Saccharomyces cerevisiae S288C: one gene and its partners. Changing the gene in region 1 together with any one later gene gives a genetic interaction. Each region holds a gene or a part of one and is shown in the gene's direction. Other genes may lie near its edges.

Region 1 (5,953 bases):
TTCGACATTTTTTTCGTTACTGGTATTTTCTGTCACAGGCTGAGAGGGATTGTAGGAGACATATTTTGTATCCCTTACTACTGAAGATATTCTGGTATTTTCTTGAGGATGTGCGCCATTTCCAACATCAGGTGGTTTTCCGATCAAGTCATCAGATTTGAATTCAACTGCTCGAAGAGAAGATTTAGCAGTTTGTGATTCTTTTGTGGAAAAAGAAGTACTTTTCTTTTTAATTTTGGGAGATGAAACGACTGCCCTTTTAGGGGAGGATTTCTTTTCTGAGGTCATTGGCTTCTTCACTGGAGACTTAGGATGCCTCTGCGATATTTTTTTAGGCACTCTTTGAACTGGTGAAGGCTTGCTCTTGCTTTTACTTCCAAAAACATTTTTTAACACGCCAAAAAACCCTTTGCCTTTGTTAGGCTTCTTCTTTTCTATGTGCTCTGCTTTAGAGGCGTTTGTCTTGGTCTTCTTTTGAATTTCTCTTGGTTTTTTTGAAGACTTTTTCGTAGGTTTCACTGGTAAAATTTCCTTAGTTTCCTTGGTGACATTACTATTATCGCCTGATGGACTGTCCTTCAAGTCGCTTGTATAGCTTCTAAATGTTGTTATGGTACCGTATGATCTTTTCTTCTCGTGAGTAGCATCGAAATCGGATGCACCGGAAAGTTTGCTATTAACAGCCCTATGTTCGTCTGTTGAAGGGTGCTTGACCTCTTCCAATTGATGTTCTAAGTTTTTTATCAAATTCTCATTTACACAGAGTAAATCTTTGGCCATCGATGAGTTTAAGGAAGAAAAGCATATCGGTATTTCAATGGCCAATTGATTAATTATGGTGAAAACAATGTTATCGGATGTAACTTCTATATGTTTATCGTCATGTTTGGTTAAGACGTCTAAGATTACGATGTTATCTCTACCATCGTTACTGCAAAATCTTGCAAAAAAAGCCAAATGAAGGTTGTTGACCTCCAATATCTCCTTGGATGGTGGTATGTTCAGGAATAAGGCAAATTTTGATTTTATTTTTTCGGAATCATAAGCGCAAAGCTCGTGAGCAGTAGAATATAATGTAAAATGGCTTCTACTAGCTTTAAATAAATGAAATGCAGTGTCTTTTTCCAAAATTCTAGCCTTCGTAATCAAGTCAGCAACTGACGAAGAAGAGATAAATGCAGAGGATAATTTACATACCATTGAGAAAGAATCTTTTCCCTTCAATCGATCAAAACGTAGAGTGCTTTTGTCTAATATAGAAACTAGAACCTCATCTATATAGCAATGACGCTCCACTTTCAACTTAGGGATCTTGGAGGGCAACGGAACTTCGTTGATCAATGAGTTCATTAAAATATCTGAGATTAAGGGCCTGTTTGATCCATCTGAAGTGTAGTAACTTTCTGCCTCCAGTATATTGATGAAAACCACATAATCACTGAATATGACTAATAAATTTCTCTTATTTTCATCATTCAAATCCACTACATCATACACACCGACTACCCTTCTCTTCAGCCATTTGTATTGCAGTTCTACGGGCCAGCATTTGGCTAATTCTGTAAGGATTTTTCCCGATGGAGTAAATACTCTGGTACTATAAGAATGAAGTGGGGAATCTAATTTTCCAAACGAATCAATGACATCAATGATATTGTTGTAGCATTTTTTTGCCATTTCTTGATTTTTCGGTCTCCATTTTTTCGACTTCCACAATCTCTCTATAATTAACTTTAGCTTCAGTAGTTTTTCCTGAGGTCCCTTAATTATACTCTCGATTTTCATTTCCGTGTAGACCTCTCTTTCTGGAATTACATTGCTGAAATGCCTAATAAACAATTTAATATCTTTGCTGAAGTTCTTTGTGGCCGCCTCGTGTCTTGTATATGCTTTGTAGAAATAAGGAATAGTAATGCTGCATGCCTTCAGTACTTCGAGGGAACCGTAAGGGATTGCTGTCTTTAGCGAGTCTAGAAAAATACAATTGATTCTTGTGACTTCATCTATTGTAGGTGGGAAGAGTCGATTTAATTTGGTTGTGGATAACCCATTAATTTCTTCATTGAGTACTCTGACTCTCAAGGCGATCAGGAATTTTTGCAAAAATTCTACCAAATTGAAAGTAAAATTTGTTTGTAGTTGTAATAACTCGTTGCAAATGGCCTTGACAAGATCATCATCCGATTCTGTGGGTAATTCGTCCTCTGGCGCCTTATAACCATATTCTGTCTGTTCCGGTGAGTATTCTGTGACTGGGTTAAAAAGTTGTTCAAGTTGTTCACCCAGATGGAATACCAACCTATTATTTAGTTCGATGGTGGATTCATTGTTTTCATAAATAACATCTAACAGGGTAGAGCTGACAAATCTATTTTGCAGAAGTCCTGATGTAAAGAAGCGCTTCCCCAGATCTTCTGGAGGAACTGCTGTTATCAACTGGCAACTACTAGCCAAATCTCCAGCATAAGGGGGGTCATAGTCGCAATTTTCCGATTTATTGGACAATATTTGTGATAAGTCTGATGGTGAAAGTAATGGATAGCGCTGTAACAGAATGACAGCAATGCATTTCTTAACATTGCTTTCCTGATCACTTGGACTCAAATTCTCAATGGCCGGATAGTATTGCGAGTTGGAAGATATATCGACGGATTCGAAGCATGATGTTCCTAATTTGTCGAATATTATAGCGTTCAACTTATTGCTGTTGGGGGACTTGTACACGCAGACAAAGAACTTCCCCCATATCAAGTCATCTGACCCGTGATAGAATACTGATTGAGTGAACACATTATCCGTCCAGTCTGAAAGTGATTTATCATCATCAAACAATGAATGACCATTTAGCGGTGTGGTCTCGACAACAGATTTGGATAGTTTGATGTTAAATAAGGTTTCATCGTTCTCTTTGTCTTTCTTTTCAGAGTAAAGAGACGACAGGTCTTTCTCCATTGGTGAGGTGTAAATATACTCTTTTAGCAACCAGATAACAGCCCGAACACGTAATGAGTAGCAGGTAGCAGCAGTAGAATGCGAGTACAGACAAACTAGTGTTGTTTTTACTATCCGCAGTGAGAGAAATCTTCCTCATTGAAGATCAAAGCCTTTGTTTACCATTGTTTTTATTTACCTTTTTAGAATTGTTCGAACAAAACCCTAGGTCTTGGCAACTGGCAATCGCTCAACATGACCTAATTTATAGCTTAGGGTTCTTTTTTGTCAATTCTATGCGTATGACAAAGAGCACCACGATGGTGATCGAAATCTCTAGGAGTAGCATACCACAGCGATATTATTTAGTAGTAGGCGGTTTATTATCTTTGTCCCTTTATACTGTTGTGTTTCTTGCTTATTGCTTCAGTAGGCAGCGTATAGTATAACCAGAAAAAAGTGAAAAATAAACTAAAAAAGCACTATGAGATGAACGGTAAAAATCCACCAGAGATTTGCTCACTAATAATCCTGTACCATGTCCATCAACCTACATTCCGCACCCGAGTATGATCCATCTTATAAGCTGATCCAGTTGACACCAGAGTTACTGGATATAATACAGGATCCGGTTCAAAATCACCAGTTAAGGTTTAAGTCATTGGACAAAGACAAGTCTGAAGTTGTACTGTGTTCGCACGACAAGACTTGGGTGCTGAAGCAGCGCAAACATTCAAACACAGTTCTACTAATGAGAGAATTTGTTCCTGAACAACCTATTACTTTCGACGAAACGCTCTTGTTTGGACTGTCCAAGCCGTACATGGACGTCGTGGGATTCGCCAAGACTGAATCAGAATTTGAGACCAGAGAGACACATGGCGAATTGAACTTGAATTCAGTACCAATATACAACGGAGAACTGGATTTCTCCGACAAAATCATGAAGAGGTCATCTACAAAGGTTATCGGGACCCTGGAAGAACTACTTGAGAACTCACCATGTTCTGCGCTAGAAGGTATATCAAAATGGCATAAGATTGGTGGATCTGTGAAAGACGGTGTGTTGTGTATTCTTTCACAAGACTTCCTTTTCAAAGCACTGCATGTACTACTGATGAGCGCAATGGCAGAATCACTCGATCTACAGCATCTGAATGTTGAGGATACACATCACGCTGTGGGGAAGGACATTGAGGACGAGTTCAATCCATACACAAGAGAAATCATTGAAACAGTGCTGAATAAATTTGCTGTTCAAGAGCAAGAGGCTGAAAACAATACGTGGCGCTTGAGAATACCGTTTATAGCTCAGTGGTACGGGATTCAAGCGCTAAGGAAATATGTTTCTGGAATAAGCATGCCAATTGATGAGTTCCTCATCAAGTGGAAGTCCCTTTTCCCACCTTTCTTCCCATGTGACATTGACATTGACATGCTGCGAGGCTATCATTTCAAGCCTACCGATAAGACTGTCCAGTATATAGCGAAAAGCACACTACCAATGGACCCCAAAGAACGGTTTAAAGTCCTGTTTAGGCTACAGTCACAGTGGGACTTGGAGGATATCAAGCCTCTAATTGAAGAACTAAATTCAAGAGGTATGAAAATAGACAGTTTCATCATGAAGTATGCCCGCCGTAAAAGACTGGGCAAAAAGACCGTGGTCACGAGCAGGTAGCACACAAAACTGCCTTCGATGGGCAATGCGAATATATAGCGGAACCACTAAAGTAATAGTGGATGACGTGAATAGCAACAAATATCTATCATAGTAGCTTTATATATTTATATATATTACAATACTATTATGCACCCTATTACCCGCAATAGTTGATAGTGACCTACCAATTTTAGATACGGTCGCTGACAAATAGTAAGGCCATCGCCCAGGGATATATGATGACTATCTAAGTAACTCACTCAGAGTAAAGACCGACAGAGTTCATTAGTGTGTTATATTTTCTATTTCAGATACATCATTTTCATTAAAATATATCGCATACACGAAGGAACTGCTACAACTGGAAGATGTTGAAATCAACTGCTACAAGATCGATAACAAGATTATCTCAAGTTTACAACGTTCCAGCGGCCACATATAGGGCTTGTTTGGTAAGCAGGAGATTCTATTCCCCTCCTGCAGCAGGCGTGAAGTTAGACGACAACTTCTCTCTGGAAACGCATACCGATATTCAGGCTGCTGCAAAGGCACAGGCTAGTGCCCGTGCGAGTGCATCCGGTACCACCCCAGATGCTGTAGTAGCTTCTGGTAGCACTGCAATGAGCCATGCTTATCAAGAAAACACAGGTTTTGGTACTCGTCCCATATATCTTGACATGCAAGCCACTACACCAACAGACCCTAGGGTTTTGGATACGATGTTGAAGTTTTATACGGGACTTTATGGTAATCCTCATTCCAACACTCACTCTTACGGTTGGGAAACAAATACTGCTGTGGAAAATGCTAGAGCTCACGTAGCAAAGATGATCAATGCCGACCCCAAGGAAATAATATTCACTTCGGGAGCGACCGAATCTAATAATATGGTTCTTAAGGGTGTCCCAAGATTTTATAAGAAGACTAAGAAACACATCATCACCACTAGAACGGAACACAAGTGTGTCTTGGAAGCCGCACGGGCCATGATGAAGGAGGGATTTGAAGTCACTTTCCTAAATGTGGACGATCAAGGTCTTATCGATTTGAAGGAATTGGAAGATGCCATTAGACCAGATACCTGTCTCGTCTCTGTGATGGCTGTCAATAATGAAATCGGTGTCATTCAACCTATTAAAGAAATTGGTGCAATTTGTAGAAAGAATAAGATCTACTTTCATACTGACGCCGCACAAGCCTATGGTAAGATTCACATTGATGTCAATGAAATGAACATTGATTTACTATCAATTTCTTCTCACAAGATTTACGGTCCAAAGGGAATAGGTGCCATCTATGTAAGAAGGAGACCAAGAGTTAGATTAGAACCTTTACTATCCGGTGGTGGCCAAGAGAGAG
Region 2 (5,905 bases), on another chromosome or scaffold:
GTATTTACCAAAAATTCCAGTGGTGAATTTCAACTGGAAAGCCTTTTCTAGATATCATTCTAATTAGACTCTCGAAATAATTACTTTTGTACTGTAAAGGATAAAATTTCATATTGAGATGTAAGAATTATTTTTTTTTTTCATTCAATAAAAGGAACACATTAATGTATATTGTCAGAACCTTGTAAGTCCAAAACACTATAACCAACTGATACAATATGTATTGTCTTTGTTTCTGCATATTTGTAAAACGTGCAAAAAAGTAAAGAACTCCTCATAGGGGGCTCGAACCCCTGACATTTCGGTATCCTTGCTTAAGCAAATGCGCTTAAAAGCCGAACGCTCTACCAACTGAGCTAACAAGGATGAGTTCTTCGGAGCGTGTTGTATCTCAAAATGAGATATGTCAGTATGACAATACGTCATCCTGAACGTTCATAAAACACATATGAAACAACCTTATAACAAAACGAACAACATGAGACAAAACCCGTCCTTCCCTAGCTGAACTACCCAAAAGTATAAATGCCTGAACAATTAGTTTAGATCCGAGATTCCGCGTTTCCACCACTTAGTATGATTCATATTTTATATAGTATATAAGATAAGTAACATTCCGTGAATTAATCTGATAAACTGTTTTAACAACTGGTTACTTCCCTAAGACTGTTTATATTAGGATTGTCAAGACACTCCGGTATTACTCGAGCCCGTAATACAACAGAGCGTCCTTAATAAATATTTCTATAAATATTTGATGTTTACCTTCCGAAAAAGGTACATTGCCAACCTTATTTGATAAATGTGTAAACTAAGATAAGTGTTGAGATCGGATTTTGATAAAGGCATTTGTTTGGGGTGTATGAGTTGGGAAAAGAAACAACAATCATCTCTTGACCAGTTTTCCTACTACTAGTGTGTTATCATATAGCGTAAGAGTATGACATAGAGATTGAGAAACAGAAACTGAATCATAACGAACATCACAGAATTTACATTTCTACACAATTTTCAGAAAAAGTGGAGTGGTGATATATGCTTATTGTTCTACAAGTTCTCTTCATGCGTTTTTGTTTATCTATCTTATTGAATTATTATCTTCATGCATTTATACTTATTAAATTCGATGAACATTTCATATTATTTTTATATGCTTCATAATTCATGTTACTACGATCTATACAGAGTATTATCGTAATGTCTTACCTTTAGCTTGTCACTTAACACATGCACTGCATTTCGAAAAGATGCTTAAGCAAGTTTATCATAATTTGGGAGTGTTCGGTGAATTTATACAGAAAGCCCCTCCAACGTCTTATTGATAATGTATATTTAGTTCATTTACCAAAATACTATCAATTCATCAACCTCCAAGTGGTTTTGACTAAACAGCCCACAATTGACATATGTGACTGCTAAGCAGACCTTTCTTGAAGTAAATTTCAGGGAAACTAAGCTACGGCCTTTCCAAAATATGGGCAGGAACTGCTTAATCCTTTCCTTTTATTAGATAAGCACTTTAGTATTTTTGTTTTTCATGGCCTTATCCTACGTTATTGTCGTGAAAGAAATGGCAGAAATTTCTGTTGTACATAAATTACTAACTGCCTTACCTTGAAAACGGTTTTATTACAAAAATAGGGGTCAAGTGTTTTGTTATCCCTGTTGTTGTTGTTTTATAAGTCCTAATCTCGCTTGAATATCGCCCATATTCACACCCTGTTCTTGACCGTCTACTAAGGTGCCTTAGGGGGACTCAAACTTAAGATCGCCTTCTACGCGTTTTATGCTATGATCATTAGTGTTGATGCATCGGAAGTTTAAAAATTAAGTGCGAGTGCATTAGCACAGTGGAATTATTAGAATGACCACTACTCCTTCTAATCAAACACGCGGAAATAGCCGCCAAAAGACAGATTTTATTCCAAATGCGGGTAACTATTTGTATAATATGTTTACATATTGAGCCCGTTTAGGAAAGTGCAAGTTCAAGGCACTAATCAAAAAAGGAGATTTGTAAATATAGCGACCGAATCAGGAAAAGGTCAACAACGAAGTTCGCGATATGGATGAACTTCGGTGCCTGTCCCTCGAGGAAATAGCAAACTCGTTACAGCTAGCATCTCATAGCATGGGCATAGAGTTTCAGAAATTTTGCTCTTAATGGAAAATATAACCTCTTTGGGGAAAAGAGAAATAGATCCTTTCTCAAAAATTTAGAAAGGAAAAAAAATCAAAATATAATAAAATAGATTTTTTTTAGGTTAATTTTTTGCCAATTTAGCTAGACTTTTGAAAAGATCCAAAAATTTACTAAAATTGAATCTTTCTGGTATTAATTTTGTCCTATACCTCAAGAAGTAAAGTATTCTCGAATTGATACTTCTGAAAAGCGAAAGAAATATAGCTAAAGGATACTGGTTATTTATTCTTTCTTTTTTTCTTTCTTTTTGATTGAGCCAGTGTATAATAAAAACCTACTGCGAGCTATTCAATAAATTGACATAGAATATCTGTTGAAGCGGTTCTTTGATTGAGCATCTGTTTTCCTTTTGTATTTTTGTCCTTTTAGATTCTTTTAACGACATTGGAGAAATTTTAATCATTGTATAAAAACTTCATTCGCTCGTTTGTCAGAAGTTTTTTTATAACTTGCTATTTCCTTCCAAGAAGCCTTTTATTGATTACCCCCTCTCTCTCTTCATTGATCTTATAGATGTCCAACCCAATAGAAAACACAGAAAACTCACAGAATACTAGTTCATCAAGGTTTTTGAGGAATGTACAAAGGTTGGCCTTAAACAATGTAACAAATACGACATTTCAAAAGAGTAATGCGAATAATCCAGCCCTAACAAATTTCAAATCTACACTAAACTCAGTAAAGAAGGAGGGAAGTCGGATTCCTCAATTTACTAGAGAAAGCGTATCAAGATCAACAGCCGCACAAGAGGAGAAAAGAACCCTGAAAGAAAATGGTATCCAACTCCCCAAAAACAATCTTTTAGATGATAAAGAAAACCAAGACCCAAGTAGTCAGCAATTTGGTGCGCTAACTTCTATAAAGGAGGGGAGAGCTGAGCTGCCTGCAAATATAAGTTTACAAGAATCCTCCTCAGCGAAGGAGATAATCCAGCATGATCCCCTAAAAGGCGTTGGATCAAGCACTGAGGTAGTCCATAACTCGGTAGAAAACGAAAAACTTCATCCAGCTAGAAGTCAACTTCAAGTTAGAAATACCGAAAGTGAAACTGATAGTGGAAAAAAAAGACCAATTTCTACAATTGTTGAACAAGAACTGCCCAAAAAGTTTAAAGTGTGCGATGAAAATGGCAAAGAAGAATATGAATGGGAAGACCTAGATGCAGAAGATGTAAATGATCCATTCATGGTCAGCGAGTACGTCAATGATATATTCGAATATCTCCACCAACTAGAGGTCATTACTCTTCCAAAGAAGGAAGATCTCTATCAGCATAGAAATATTCATCAAAATCGAGATATCCTAGTTAATTGGTTGGTTAAAATCCATAATAAATTCGGCTTATTACCGGAGACTTTGTATCTTGCCATTAACATAATGGACAGGTTTTTAGGTAAAGAGCTAGTTCAACTGGATAAGTTACAATTGGTTGGCACATCATGCCTTTTCATTGCCTCTAAATATGAAGAGGTCTATTCTCCTAGTATAAAACATTTCGCATCAGAGACAGACGGTGCATGTACGGAAGATGAAATCAAAGAAGGGGAGAAATTCATTTTAAAGACATTGAAATTTAACCTAAATTATCCCAATCCGATGAATTTTCTGAGAAGAATTTCGAAAGCAGATGACTACGATATACAGTCTCGAACTCTTGCCAAATTCTTATTAGAGATATCATTGGTAGATTTCAGATTTATTGGGATACTACCCTCATTGTGTGCAGCAGCTGCGATGTTTATGTCGAGAAAAATGTTAGGTAAAGGTAAATGGGATGGAAATCTAATACACTATAGCGGCGGGTATACTAAAGAAGAACTTGCGCCCGTGTGTCACATGATAATGGATTATCTAGTGAGTCCAATTGTTCATGATGAATTTCATAGAAAATATCAATCTAGAAGATTTATGAAAGCTTCTATAATTTCCGTCCAATGGGCTTTAAAGGTTAGAAAAAACGGCTATGATATAATGACCTTGCATGAATGAGAAGAGGGGCAGATGCTTAAAATATCTAAAACGATAATCGATAAATGTCCATATAAAATGTATGGCTGCTTTTTAATCATTTCTTTTCACATTTCCATTTATTCTTACAAATTTCACACCCAATTTTAGCGCCTTTCATTCTGTTATTTTTAAACTGACGATAAAAAATCATTCGAAGCCTAAGATTTCCAAAATAAAACTCCATTTTTATTCTCACTAATAACACCACACCATTAATTTTAATTTTTTAATTTTAATTTCAGATTTGTACCATAAGTTTTATTCTATTTCAGTTCAACCGTTTCCGGATGCATGTAGCGAGGGTAGACAAAGAAAAGCATCAGTATCGGATGTTGATATTATGGGAAATATCATAACCTTAGTCTCTTAAAAAATGCTGCTTTCTTCTCATTTTTCATTTCTTTTAAAATTATTTCAGTATAGTTATTATAATTAACATTGGAATAACATTAATAATAATAATTTTTTAATAGTAATAATGATAATAATAATAATAAAAATAAAAGAATAAATTTAAAAACAAAAAAAATTCTAATATTAATGATGATAATAGTAGTAATACTGGTGGTATTATATATGTTGAAGTGAACACGCATATCACTATAAACTATATATACATATATATAGATAGATAGATAGATGCAAAAAATTTTTTCCTTTTAGTTCAGCAAAAAGAAAAGAAAATGTAAAGAGTATGCGAATTCATGAGCATTACTAGTACTAATCTACTTAAGATTAAATAGATTTTGAAAGTTGCTATGCATTTCGGATGTACACCACTTGAAAGTTTGGAAATAAACAGAGCCATACCTTGGTTTCTTGTACTTCAAAATCAATGAATCTAAATGAGTTTTGGAACTAGCGATGTCTTTGACTAGATCAATGCAGAGAGACTGAAACGCTTCATCGTGTATTGGATCGATACCACCACTGTAATGCTGTAGTGTTCCATTCCATAGCTCGTTCTTGTTTCTGTTGGTCATTCTTCTCGCTATATACATTGCCATTGCGCTTACGGTAGATGGAGGTAAATGAATGAATTGGTGGCAGCAGTAGGCATACTCTAAAATAAACTTACCAATATTTCTATTAACCGGATCGTAATCATCTGCCTTGGAGATCCTCCTTAGGAAATTGAGTGGGTTGGGCCAACCAATGTTGAATTCTAAGGAAGTGAGCATGAACATTTCCGCATTTTTTATGTCGTTTTTAGAAGCCGCGCCGTCAGTGATATAAGCGTATTCAGCTAGTTTGGGCAAATTTACCTCTTCAAATTTTGCCGCGATGAAAAGTGAGGTAACTGCCAATAATTGTAACTTGTTCATCGTAACTTTATTTTTAGCTAAAAATCTATCCATTAAGTTTATGGATAGGAATAACGTTTCCGGATAGCATTGAAATTTTTCGTGCACCTCTACCAGCCAATCCACTAATATTGTTCTCATGGAAGGCCTCAAATAATACTTGGACGTTTTGTCGAGTAAATAGTTGTGCGATGGTAACGTTTCTAATTCTCTTCTATATAAAAATGCAAAAATTTCAGCAGAATATTCTGCTACCATTGCAGTATCATCTTTTTCAACATAATCTAGGTCCTGCCAGCCTACTATTTCACTCACTCCTTCAGCGTCTATTCTGCGTTTTTTGTTCACTATCGAAGCAGCATCATCATCTTCTCCTTCTTCTTCTTCT
Region 3 (5,010 bases), on another chromosome or scaffold:
TCACAGTAGACGGGAGCGCTCCACGTGAGGCCATTTTACGGTACGTAGGACCACTACCGTTGGACGTGATGGGCACATGGTGCGGTGTGGAATTCCCGGAAGCCGCAGGCAAAAACGATGGGCGCATAAATGGGGTAACACTGTTTGGGCCTGTGGCGCCGGGTCACGGATCGTTTGTGCGTCCGCGGGCTGTGGAAATTCTATCAAAAGACGAAGAATCCGCCGAGGTGGAAGACGTCCATGATGACGTGGAGAGCGATGATGAAATTTGAATTTGTGCAGAATTAGCGCGGTGGCGGTTTAGTTAGTGATCTCCATCCGATGTCAACATATTATTATTTGTAGTTGTATTTATGTGCACTCGGCGGTTTGTATGAGGAAAAGATGTTATGAAGAGAAAAACTGCCGAGTAATTGAAAGAGATGTCTGAAGTAGCGGAAACATGGGTGGATACCTGGATGGCAAAACTAGTCAACTATGACTACAAGCACTTTATAAGATTGGTGATAATTGTAGGTGGTTATTTACTCTTAAGAAATATCGCATCCAGGGAATTGGCGAAGAAGCAGTTGGCTGCCCAAGTGGAAAAGGACAAACGAGACAAAGAGGAAAAGAGATCAAAAGACCTGATCGACAAGCCAGATGATGCTGCAACAGCAGAAACAACTTCTTTCGGTTGGGGTAAGAAAACTAGAAGAAGAGTTAAAAGACAACAGGAGTTGTTTGAAAACGCTTTGGAAGAGGCTAAGAGAAGAAACCAAGGGTTGGACCCAGATAGTGATGCTGATATTGAGGAACTACTGGAAGAATAGGCTCTCTGTGTATGTATGGGTTCCTCTTTGTCATTGTGACATTGTTTTGTTTTTAGTTTTTCTATAGTTTTCTGATAAAATAGTCTAACCATTACCGATGTTGCTACTTGCATCATTCTCAACGTCTAATCAACTTGCGTTTGCGTCTCAAATTGAGTTTGTAGGTTACGTGTCGCCTTAATAGTCAGCAAATGCCGACGTTTGTGAGACGGATAACGACTGCGATGATTCCCATTCCGCATGAATGATGCAATTCACAATTCAAACACGATATCAAACGACTAAGCCGTGAATTAACGGCTAGAATGCAAAAGAAAATGGGTAAGAATTGATTTATGTAGATACGGCAAGACGATACTTTCCTTAAACAGCCGAGAAACGAAAAGGTTTAAAGAGATGTACTGTGACGTAGAAGAGAAAGGATTACGCAGCAATGGCTTGTCCAAATTTCGTAGTCTAGCCAATTGAAAATATAAATTATTTTCAATACTAATGGGCGGCTTTCGAACAAATGTCACATTGCAGAGGTGATCGTTCAAAGTAATTAGCAGTCATGAACGAGATCTTCTTTTCTCTTATGAAGAAAAAGGCTGATGGTCGACAAGAAAAATCTCAATACAATGGCTACCATTCCACAAAGAAGTGCCTCGCTAGGTGTAACTCAATGAACTGAAATTGCTTTCGTCAGTGGTTTCAACTCTTGTGCGGCCGCATGAAAAATGAAGAGAAATTTGAAAAAATCTCAAAGAAGAAAATAGTTTCCTCATCGCAGCAACCTATAGAAAACAACACGACAGAAAGATATTGTAACTTGATAGTACCGAGCATATATACCCCGAACAAACATGAGTTCTTATAGGGGCGGCAGTAGAGGTGGCGGGAGCAACTATATGAGCAATCTACCCTTCGGATTAGGTTATGGAGATGTAGGCAAAAATCATATTACGGAATTTCCATCCATCCCATTGCCCATCAATGGTCCTATAACAAATAAGGAAAGATCTTTAGCAGTAAAGTACATCAATTTTGGAAAGACTGTTAAAGATGGCCCATTTTATACCGGATCAATGAGCTTGATAATAGATCAACAGGAAAACAGCAAGAGCGGTAAACGCAAACCCAACATAATCCTAGACGAAGACGATACTAATGATGGCATTGAAAGATATTCCGATAAATATTTGAAAAAAAGGAAAATAGGTATTTCTATTGATGATCATCCGTATAATTTGAACCTCTTTCCCAATGAATTGTACAATGTAATGGGGATCAACAAGAAAAAATTATTGGCAATCTCCAAGTTTAATAATGCCGATGATGTTTTTACTGGTACAGGTTTACAAGATGAAAACATCGGACTATCCATGCTGGCAAAGTTAAAGGAGTTGGCAGAAGATGTGGATGATGCGTCGACGGGTGATGGGGCAGCAAAAGGAAGTAAAACAGGCGAAGGAGAAGATGATGATTTGGCGGATGATGATTTCGAAGAAGATGAAGACGAAGAAGATGATGATGATTATAATGCTGAAAAGTATTTCAACAATGGTGACGATGATGATTACGGTGATGAAGAGGATCCAAATGAAGAGGCCGCCTTTTAGTTGAAAATTTATACCGCTTTACCATATTTTTGGATATTCTTCAAAGCAGAATTTGTACAATTAGCATTTTTCTTTATGGTTTAGATCGGCGGTGAGGGCGCAACAGATTTATGTATACATATTGAAATAATAAAATTTAAAAAAGAAAAAATCTTGGTAAACATTAAAAATCTTAATTCTATTTAAATATTAGTATTACAATAACAGCATGTTTCTCTTGTCATTAGCTGAGCCTTGGAGGTGGTCTTTTTCTTGTAGGAGACATCGAATTCTTCCTCGAATTAAAATTGGAATTCGAAGTAGTCGGTAGAGGTGGTAGTTTTGGAGAATTCAGGCCTGATGGATGAGGATGTGAGTTAGGCGAAGAGGAATCTAGGCGTGAGGGTCTATCTCTTCTTACTAACGGCGTATTGCGCGAACTTGAATAATTGGACATATCATCTCTGGTCGGTATAGGAGGTAAGGGCGGTTGGTTATAGTTGTGGGAGACTCTATGGCTGGAAGAATAAAATGCGTCATTTTCGTCGTCATCGTCATCATCTTCGTCGTAAGACAACGAAGTTACACCAATAGCCTTTTGAAGTGCCTCAATATCTACCTTGTTAGATTCATTTTGGCAGTTGTTTGTTGAACTATCAGGATTCTTAAATATATTTATCTTCTCCTTTAATTTCCTTAAATTGGCAAAATGGAATTTTGTATTCGAAGTGTTTGATATAGCAGTATCATTAGTTTCTAATGTAGACGTTGTACCCATGGATGCTGAAAAAGTTGGAGGTAAAATTATTGGGTCATTACTATTTGCCAATACCGCTGTATCTGATTTAGATGACATGGAGAAAACATTGCCATTTCTGTAGGGCTGTCCCTCATCCTTATCCTCGTGACTTGTGCTAACACACTGGGGAGTAATCTGTCTCATCGTAGAACCATGAACATAGTCATACTCTGATTCTGTTGGCAATGGTGGTATCGGCCTCATAGCCATAGATGAATCCAACCTGTCCATTTCTTTGTTAAGATCGTCCCTGTTTAAACGAGGTACTTTGGGAGTGAAAGTCAACTCAATGAATATAGTGCCAGCAAATTCATCCCCACTTCTTTTCAGTTCGTACCAGGTACAATAACCCTCCTTCGGGTCTGCTCTAATAGCATTTAAAAGGTCTATTTCACATCTTCCAATTGGCAGCGGAGATTTTTTCCTTCTATCGCAGTAAACTTCGACGTACATTAAAGGCTTTATCTCTGGAGTAATATCAAATTTTTCTAAATAATGGAAAACAGGGTTTTGACCTGCTCGATGTAGAGTGTTGCTGGCTCTTGTCATATGAGCTATTCGCAACCTAAGCATTACATTTTGCTTGTCCAGTTTATTCAAATTAGGCAAGTCTCTAGCTTTGCTCACATATACGGAGAGGATTCCTTGGTTTCCATTCCATACTTCTTCGGACATTCGACAGTGACTCAACGAGTTAACCCAATTCCAGTTGTGAAACCTAAGGTCTCCGAATTCTCTCGTACTATTAACATACCTTTCTATGTTTTTATCTAAATCATATGAGGAACGCTAGGCCGTCATTCATGATCAGCAGAGGCGGCTTTTCATACAATTTTACAGGAAGCTAAGTACTTAGAGGACTTATGCTCTGTTTGGTCCTGCGGAAACTACCAGAATACACAACGCCAAGAAACTAACAGAGGACCATTATGGAACTGTTACCACAGGGACAAAGGAACAACACTCAGGTAACGTTCGAAGATCAGCAAAAGATCAACGAGTTTTCGAAGTTGATTATGCGTAAGGACGCCATTGCGCAGGAATTGAGTTTACAGAGGGAGGAGAAGGAGTACCTCGATGATGTGTCTCTAGAAATTGAATTGATTGACGAAGATGAGCCCGTGCAATACAAGGTGGGCGACCTCTTTATCTTCATGAAACAGAGCAAAGTTACCGCACAGCTCGAAAAAGACGCAGAACGTCTCGACAACAAAATAGAGACTTTAGAGGACAAGCAAAGAGACATTGATTCCCGTCTTGATGCTCTGAAGGCGATCCTGTATGCTAAATTTGGTGATAATATCAACCTTGAACGTTAGAACACTCATTAAAGTGTGGGCTGTGGGTGTCTCCACAAAATGAGTAATGAAAAATTTTTAATTTTTTCAGGAGGGAAATTAAAGAAAAGTAAAGAACATGATAATAAAAAGCAAGTTTAAGTTATTGTGTATGAGATAGAGTTTTTTTTGTATACCTTTGTAATCCGCATATATTCCTAAGTACCTTTTTTTTCAGACAGAAAAAAAGAGTTTCTTTACGGAAATTACTTCTTTCGTTTGATATTGTTTTTCTCTTTCGAGATTTAAGAACGTGGTTGTGTTTCGTGTTTCTGTGCAGATCATATTAGAAAGTTTTTTTCTCCATTTTGATAGACAAAACTTGTTGTTTCTACTGAACACAGCATATAAGCCAAGAAAATAGTTTTCCAAAAATGTCTCAAGTGCAAAGTCCTTTGACAGCAACGAACTCTGGTTTAGCTGTCAATAATAACACAATGAACTCACAAATGCCTAACCGTAGCAATGTTAGATTGGTCAAT
Region 4 (7,983 bases), on another chromosome or scaffold:
GGGCCAGAGGACTTTTGAATGATGGATCTTGTCATAAACACTATTAAACCCATCAAGACAACACCAGATAGCGAAAAGATTAAAACCATGATTTTGGCGCCAACCGACTTGGGCAGGATGTCACCTAGTCCCACGGTTAATAATGATACCGTGCAGAAATATAATGCATTTCCGTAAGTGATGTGCAATAAACCGCTAAACATACCCGCACCCCAAATCAACCATAAAGACAATAGTACAGTGTATGCCATGATACTTCTTTCATTGGGCAAAAGGTTGAACGTTGGAGGATATTTTCCTAATTTATATCCAATAAAATGTATTGTTAAAATAATGGTGCATACCAAATATAGACCAGAACTGATACAGGCAAACCAAAATCCGATAGTCTTACTGTAGATGCTGGGCATGTCATTCAAGGAGCATACAATCACGTCCACCAAAAGCATCCCTCCAGCTATTGTCCATCCTGTTATATTTATTAACTGAGATTTAAGATACGTCAACTTCTTACTGAAATGTAGCATTAGTATAATATTTGACGTAAAACCCAGTACCAAAGAGATGATATTAACGGCAAAAATACCAGGAGGATCAAAAACTGTCTTTACTTGATTCATCAAAACATCGGTGTCATTGCTTCGTGGATTTGTCACCACGGAGTTGTTCTTTAAGGATCTCCATTTTTCAACTACACAGGCTATCGAGATAGTGTTAGCTACGGGACCCAAGCAGGCAGTAATCACAGGGAAATAGCATGAAACCACAAACCAAAAGACGAACAGTGTTGAAGAAGGCTCTGCATTAATAATACTAACTCTTTCGTCCCGGAACCGCAATGCATCCTTTAGTTCCTCTGCAAGAACACCCTTAGCTTGCTTCGGTGTGTTGTTTGAATGAGAATCAACAGCCTGAGCTGAGCTCTCTTGCTCCACTGTCGCCATATTGCCATATCCCAGCGTTTGTTTGGCAAAGCTGTTCATGAACCTTGTCATATATATAGAAATCGGTAAAATAAATACAAGAAATATGCTTTGTTATACTGCTAGAAAGGAGTGAAGACATCTGCTCACGATCTACGAGATGCGGCTATTTTTGATGGAAAAAGATACATAGGGTCAGGCATTTTTGCCATATTGAATAACCAAGATGGTACTGAGTACTCAGGTAATGTATATTACATTGAGTACTTCACTTGTATACACAACCACTGCTTCGTATTGTATATCAAGTATCTAACTGTTGATAAACTACAACTTTCTCTTCAACCATAATGATAGCGCCGCTTAAAACATGCTAGGGTAACGAGACGCGAATGCGAAAAACTCCCAAAAAAACCAAAACAAACAAAAGTGACAACAATTAGAACGATGCTGAAGAAGAATAGGAGCGAGTTTAGAGTTACCTCCAGCTATCCTGATACTACTGCTTAGGCTACCTTCGCAGAGTCTCGATAAATTTGCAGTCGGCAAGATAAGAATATTTCTCTACAGCTTTTAGACAGCTTCCTGTCCCTCTAGTTTCTTTTGCCATCCATAATTGTACTCTGCACTTTGAGTATCATTCCAATTTGATCTTTCTTCTACCGGTACTTAGGGATAGCAAATGTCGTCGAACAATGATCTTTGGTTGCATTTAGTATCCCAGTTAAATACTCAACAGAGAGCAGCGGCCCTCTTTGATTACACTAGAGGGCTGCAGGTCATTGCCGGTCCCGGCACAGGGAAGACTAAGGTTTTAACTTCAAGAGTAGCGTATCTTATTCTGCACCACCATATTCATCCCCGCGATATTATAGTGACTACTTTCACTAACAAAGCTGCTAACGAAATGAAAGAGCGTTTGCAAGAAATGTTACGCGGGGCAGGCGTGAATATTTCGGAGCTCTTAATTGGTACTTTTCATAGTATTTGCCTGAAAATACTTTATAGATTTGGCCACTTGGTGGATCTACAGAAAGACTGGAGAATTATTGATGAGAAGGAAATAGATGTCATTTTAGATGATATGATCGAAAAAGTTCCCGACCAAATAAGGGATTATGCTTCCTCAATCACAAGGAAAGTAAATCTTTGTATGCCGAGTAAAAATGGAGATGAATGGACTATTCATCCGAAGCTGATCAAGAAACAGATATCAAAGCTAAAATCAAACGCAATATTACCTGAGGAATACATCTTAGATTCGAATCATGACGCCGCGCTTGGTTACTTTTACCAAATATACCAATCAGAGCTAAGCAAGAAAAATACGTTAGATTTTGATGACTTATTAATGTACACCTTTCGTTTGCTGACTAGAGTGCGTGTTTTATCCAACATAAAGCATGTTTTAGTTGACGAATTTCAAGATACTAACGGCATTCAATTGGACTTGATGTTTCTTTTTGCTAAGGGAAATCATCATCTTTCGAGGGGGATGACCATCGTAGGTGATCCTGATCAAAGCATATATGCTTTCAGAAACGCCTTAGCGCACAACTTTCTAGAAATGGGCAGAAAATGTCCCATCGAGTACTCAACTATCATACTTGTTGAAAATTATCGTTCATCACAAAAAATTCTAAATACAAGCGAAATTTTAATAACGCAACAAAACAAAGGTCGGCAGAATAGGGCTCCACTCCGTGCCCAATTTGACCTGGATTTTCCACCAGTTTACATGAATTTCCCCGCTTACTTTTTGGAAGCACCTTCTTTAGTTCGGGAACTACTATATTTGAAGGCATTGCCAAACCTATTCACATTTAATGACTTTGCTATCCTAGTAAGACAACGAAGACAAATTAAAAGGATCGAAAGTGCATTAATAGAACATCGGATACCCTATAAAATTATTAGGGGCCACAGTTTCTGGGATTCCAAGGAAACAAGAGCGATGTTAAATTTATTAAAATTGATATTTTCTCCGAATGACAAACATGCAATTCTTGCTTCACTTTTATATCCAGCAAGGGGCCTTGGTCCTGCTACCGGTGAGAAGATTAAGAACGCATTGGACACGTTAGCTACCGATGTGTCATGTTTCCAAATATTGAAAGACATAAGTAGTAAAAAAATAATGCTAGACATACCGACGAAAGGCCGTTCTGTGATTGCTGACTTCATTTCAATGATAGAAAATTGTCAATTGTTGCTCCAGAGCACTTTACTAGGGGGTCTTTCAGATTTATTTGATAAGCTATATGAATTATCAGGTCTGAAATACGAATACTTGTACAAGGATGGTAAGAAAAAAAATGATCAGCTTGAAAAATCCGAACCTAATTTATTAAACGCAAGACATAAGAATATTGAACTTTTGAAAAACTATTTCCTGGCTCTTCTTTCCAAGTCAGAATCTTCAGATAAAGAAAAAAATGAAGCCATTAAAGCAGCAACAGATGAAGCCGAACCAATAGAGAACAAGGTCATCACTCCAAAAGAATACCTCCGTAATTTCTTCAATTCACTTTCCCTTCATTCTGATGCAGCTGAGGAGGAAGAGTCGGAATCCAATAAAGATGCAAAAATAAAACGTGAGAAGAATGGGTTTGTCACGATATCTACAATTCACGGTGCCAAAGGTCTTGAGTGGCCGGTAGTTTTTATTCCTGGATGCGAAGAAGGTATAATTCCTTGTGTGTTCAACGATGATAAGAAAGACGAATCAGAGGAGGACGAAGAAGAAGATCAAGAAAATAGTAAGAAAGATGCAAGCCCAAAAAAGACTAGAGTTTTATCCGTGGAAGATTCTATAGATGAGGAAAGAAGAATGTTTTTTGTTGCACAGACTCGTGCAAAATACCTGTTGTACCTATCAAATACTGTAACTGTGGAAGATGTCGATAGACCAAGAATTGCAAGCCGATTTTTGACTACTGACTTGATAAAAGCCATGTCCGATAGCCAAAAATTATTTGAAAGTACGAATAGTATCAAAAAACTATACCGAATTTTGAACAAAAAGCCGCCTGCTGAAGATGATAAACTATTCTCCCTTGACCAATTGCGCAAAGACTATAACCAATTCATTGAAAATAGGAGAGAAAGGATGATTTGGCAAGGGATACAAATGAATGATGTCTATGGAATACAGTTGTCTAGAAATAAATTATTGGGTTCTGTTAGTGATTTCACGTCAGCTGCGGACCAGTTACGACTCGAAACGCAAAACTCTATATTCCCACAGAAGAAACTTATTGAAAAATCACGCCCATCCAAAATCAATGGCAATTACGCTCCTAAAAGTAGAGTTAAAAGTCCAGAAAAAAGGTACGCTCCAGAAACTACATCATTCCATTCTCCTACAAAGAAAAAGGTGTATGCACCTCAATACGTTTCAACAACTAATGTACCTAGTAGGCAGGAGTTTCATTCTTCTACTGGGAAAAATATTCCTTTTCTGAGAAGAGAAGATAGGTCCATCACAGACATATCACCACGATCATCAACGAGGTCGTTAAAAGGAGCATCTCCAAATAAGACGAGCCACATGTCAGATGATTTAATGAGACCATCACCTACGAGGAAGGACAAAGTTACTCGTAATATTCATTTCGCAACTGCAGGAACTTTCAGAATAGAAACCCAGTCAAATGTTGATGAACTGCATCCTCCGGAATACTCCAATAAATCAGGGCAGTCGCTTACGTCGAGTGAATTTTCTGGGTTTTCTAGCGCGTGCAGTAATTCTGATCAGCCAACGAACTTAATAGAAGATATAAACAACGAATTAGATCTATCCGATGAGGAGTTATTAAATGACATATCAATAGAAAGGAGGAGAGAGCTTTTGGGCTCGAAAAAGACGAAAAAAATAAAACCAAAAACTCGAAATAGAAAGTCTAAGAGAGGTGACAAGGTTAAGGTGGAGGAAGTGATAGATTTGAAGAGTGAATTTGAGGAAGATGACAGCAGAAATACAACAGCTGCTGAGTTATTACATAATCCGGATGACACTACAGTTGACAATCGTCCAATAATCTCCAATGCTAAGTTTTTGGCTGACGCAGCAATGAAAAAGACACAGAAATTTTCCAAAAAGGTGAAGAATGAACCTGCATCAAGTCAAATGGATATATTTTCTCAGCTGTCACGTGCGAAAAAAAAGTCAAAATTAAACAACGGTGAAATCATAGTCATCGATTAGTAGCACTTTCATGCCTGACTACGTCAACTATTGGAGGCGGTTTATAATTTTTATTTAAAGCACATAGGAGTTAATTTTATTTTACTGGTAGGGTTTGTATACGAACTACATGGAAATGTGGATGGTGTGTTATTATAGCTTAATGAATATTCTTTTTCTATACAAGAAAACCGATATGACAGCTATGAATGAGCAGTATGCCAACAAAACCAGGAATGATTTTAAGGGTGAAGAATCTATCGTGACCATAGACATATTGACTAAACCAGTAGAGACATTTGCCAACAAAAATAAAAACAACCCATTGGAGTTGATTGATTCCAAGCATTCGGCAACTTTATAATATTCCGAAGAATTACCGAAAATTTTGTCAGTCAAGCAGTACCCAGTCAAAAATAGTAAATTATAAGTAATGACCCACAAAGTATATGGTAAGTTAGCAAACCTTCTTGAAACACTATAAGGATGGTATTGAAAAACCAACTGGCTGATAACAAGAAAAATTGTACTCCATATACAGAGGCCACTTAATGGGGTTACTGAAGTCCAATAGTCCCAAGTCGAAGACTTCTTTGATGCTGCAACTACGTCTTGCGTAGAAGGCTTATAAAGATTGTTTAAAGTTGGTTTATTTCCCAACAAGTAAAATCCCGTGTTTTGGCCCCAAAGAAAAATCGAGCAATAACCTAGAAATGAGAAGATGCCTTCTCTATTAGCACTGAAGAAACAATTTCTATCAGCCAAAATTAAAAAGTTTAAAGTGCGATCGTCCTTTAAAAGTAGCCATTCATAAATGCATGAAATGAATATTGCAATTGAGCAGCGTGGAACCATTCTTGTGACGGGATCAATAAAGGTCAATACAAGTGGCAACAATGATAGGGTGATAAAAAAATTCCAATGAACCCCATATTCTGTGACATGTTCTTGATATTCCAAATTTTTTACAAAAAACAACCTCAGCAATCCTAGGAACAATAGAGTTCCTCCTGATTTTAAGGCATTAAATGCATTTTTTAAGAAGCTGGGTTTACTCTTCAAGCTTAGGTTTTTCAACAGTGCCCTAGAAGAAACAATACCGTTACTGAAAACGAATGATCCTACACCAAGATCCATCAGGGATGTCCCCCAAGTTTCCACCTTGGCAAACCTCCTTGGGAAAATTGGAAAATCTACAGCCAAGATGGCAATAGCAGTCAGAATAAGCATCCCACCACGATACGCAGTAATATACGGCTTTTTTTCTAGTTGGAACCGCTGTGTAATCATTTTTTTTTTATTGTATATTGGATTAGAAGGTTTACTCGAGCTAGTAAATTTTCCATATATGAATGCGAGCAAACAAGGTAACAGTATTAGCGTGTTTAGAAGGTATGGTTCACTAGCATAAATAGTAATAGATAGAAGCAAAGCAACCCAGTTCAATGCAAAATCAATTATGTATTGCACGCTGGAAATGCCAGGAGGCATAAGGTTGGAATTTTTCAATAAGTTCCATGATATGTAAGTTACCAAAGCAATTGATGTCACTGCGTTAATTTCTGTTATAGAACCGCCATTGAGCCCTGTCACAAAGTCCTCTTTTCTCTGTTTTAAAGTCGACATATTCTTCTGATGTACTGTTGCCATTTATTTAGATATTTACGTGTCTTCTTATTGCGATCCTCTTTTTCTCATGCTGTTTTTTCACGCGAGCATGTCATGGAAAGTATTATCATACAAAACGGTAATACATATAGATGAGTAGATTTGAATAATGCTGTAGATGGCGTATGTAAATGAATATCTTATAAAATTACGGACTACATTTCAAGAATCTAATTCCTTTGTCTGATTTCTTGTCTGTCGTCTCATAGGTTTTTCTAAAGAGGCAGTACGTTTCTTATCTTGAATGGAGCCATAGGTAACTTGAGTATGTGAAACTTCCTCAGTTCTTGGGATCTCTTCTGGATTAGAAATTGCAGTCGGCTGCTCTGTAGGCACATTTTCTGACATTATTGTGCCCCAACTCGTGGTTCGTTTAATTTGTTTAGGAACGAAATTTTTTGGCAGTGACTCCAACTTGATCCTTTTCGTATCCGGCATTTGTCTCTCTGAAGAAACATCCATGATACTCGATGAGACACTACGCTTTTTTCTTCCAGAATCAGTTTCTCTAATTTTCTGCAATAATTCGTTTTTGGTATCTTTCATAGAGTGCTCCGATAATGAGGAATTGTTTCTTTTCAAAAGAATAGTTTTGTCGATTTTTGGATCATTGTTTTGGTACTTTTTTTCTGAACTAATGCTGGTATAGTATGGTTTTTTTATCTTACATTTAAAATCGTCCTTGTGTCCTCTTGGGCAGATAATACACCACTTGATATTGTTTAAAAAGATTTCATTATTTTCTCCAGATGCAGCGGACAATAATTTAAAAATAAATGCTGGAGTAACTACCGGTATGGAGTGGAATTTCTTGATATATTCAATTTTCCTTTTCATCGAATTTCTCAAGATTGAATTATTTTGAAAATCTTTTCTGTTATTATCACCAGGATCATCATTATTGTTATTAATGCAAAACTGAGTAAAAAGATCGCTAAATTCATTCGACCATAACGGATGGGTTTTCGGGATACTGGGTAAAGCTGCTAAGTTGATTAGCAGAATGTCAGTGGATTTATTGAGGTATTCTACATAATTGATGCCCATTGGTTTTAGAAGATTTAATACTTTAGTCAGATGTAACAGCTCTACGCCAGAGAATCCAGTGATAGTAACATTCAGAAAAGGGGAAGAAGAAAATTCATGATGCAATAACTTTGAAGAAGACGAAACTTGAAACTCTATTGTGCTGAGGAAGGGTTTTGA

What was found.
Region 2: mutations in DCC1 (region 1) and CLB2 together harm fitness more than expected from each alone (negative genetic interaction), as found in Saccharomyces cerevisiae (7 studies listed by BioGRID, with this or other methods).
Region 3: mutations in DCC1 (region 1) and GIM3 together harm fitness more than expected from each alone (negative genetic interaction), as found in Saccharomyces cerevisiae (8 studies listed by BioGRID, with this or other methods).
Region 4: mutations in DCC1 (region 1) and SRS2 together harm fitness more than expected from each alone (negative genetic interaction), as found in Saccharomyces cerevisiae (9 studies listed by BioGRID, with this or other methods).

Annotation. Positions count from the first base shown.
Region 1 is NC_001135.5:93,280-99,232, reverse strand, and holds DCC1 (Dcc1p), read left to right. Parts: upstream 1-3,469; coding exon 3,470-4,612; downstream 4,613-5,953. Other genes in the region: BUD3 (Bud3p), read right to left, coding at 1-2,952; NFS1 (cysteine desulfurase), read left to right, coding at 4,963-5,953. UniProt on the Saccharomyces cerevisiae protein: Component of the RFC-like complex CTF18-RFC which is required for efficient establishment of chromosome cohesion during S-phase and may load or unload POL30/PCNA.
Region 2 is NC_001148.4:768,937-774,841, forward strand, and holds CLB2 (B-type cyclin CLB2), read left to right. Parts: upstream 1-2,716; coding exon 2,717-4,192; downstream 4,193-5,905. Other genes in the region: S-methyl-5-thioribose-1-phosphate isomerase MRI1, read left to right, coding at 1-51; B-type cyclin CLB5, read right to left, coding at 4,939-5,905. UniProt on the Saccharomyces cerevisiae protein: Essential for the control of the cell cycle at the G2/M (mitosis) transition. Interacts with the CDC2 protein kinase to form MPF. G2/M cyclins accumulate steadily during G2 and are abruptly destroyed at mitosis.
Region 3 is NC_001146.8:345,169-350,178, reverse strand, and holds GIM3 (tubulin-binding prefolding complex subunit GIM3), read left to right. Parts: upstream 1-4,120; coding exon 4,121-4,510; downstream 4,511-5,010. Other genes in the region: ALF1 (Alf1p), read left to right, coding at 1-272; PGA2 (Pga2p), read left to right, coding at 423-812; RPC31 (DNA-directed RNA polymerase III subunit C31), read left to right, coding at 1,658-2,413; INN1 (Inn1p), read right to left, coding at 2,637-3,866; serine/threonine protein kinase YCK2, read left to right, coding at 4,903-5,010. UniProt on the Saccharomyces cerevisiae protein: Binds specifically to cytosolic chaperonin (c-CPN) and transfers target proteins to it. Binds to nascent polypeptide chain and promotes folding in an environment in which there are many competing pathways for nonnative proteins.
Region 4 is NC_001142.9:255,818-263,800, forward strand, and holds SRS2 (DNA helicase SRS2), read left to right. Parts: upstream 1-1,605; coding exon 1,606-5,130; downstream 5,131-7,983. Other genes in the region: TOK1 (Tok1p), read right to left, coding at 1-995; GWT1 (glucosaminyl-phosphotidylinositol O-acyltransferase), read right to left, coding at 5,263-6,735; protein kinase activating protein DPB11, read right to left, coding at 6,940-7,983. UniProt on the Saccharomyces cerevisiae protein: ATP-dependent DNA helicase involved in DNA repair at least for UV-induced lesions. The polarity of the helicase activity was determined to be 3' to 5'.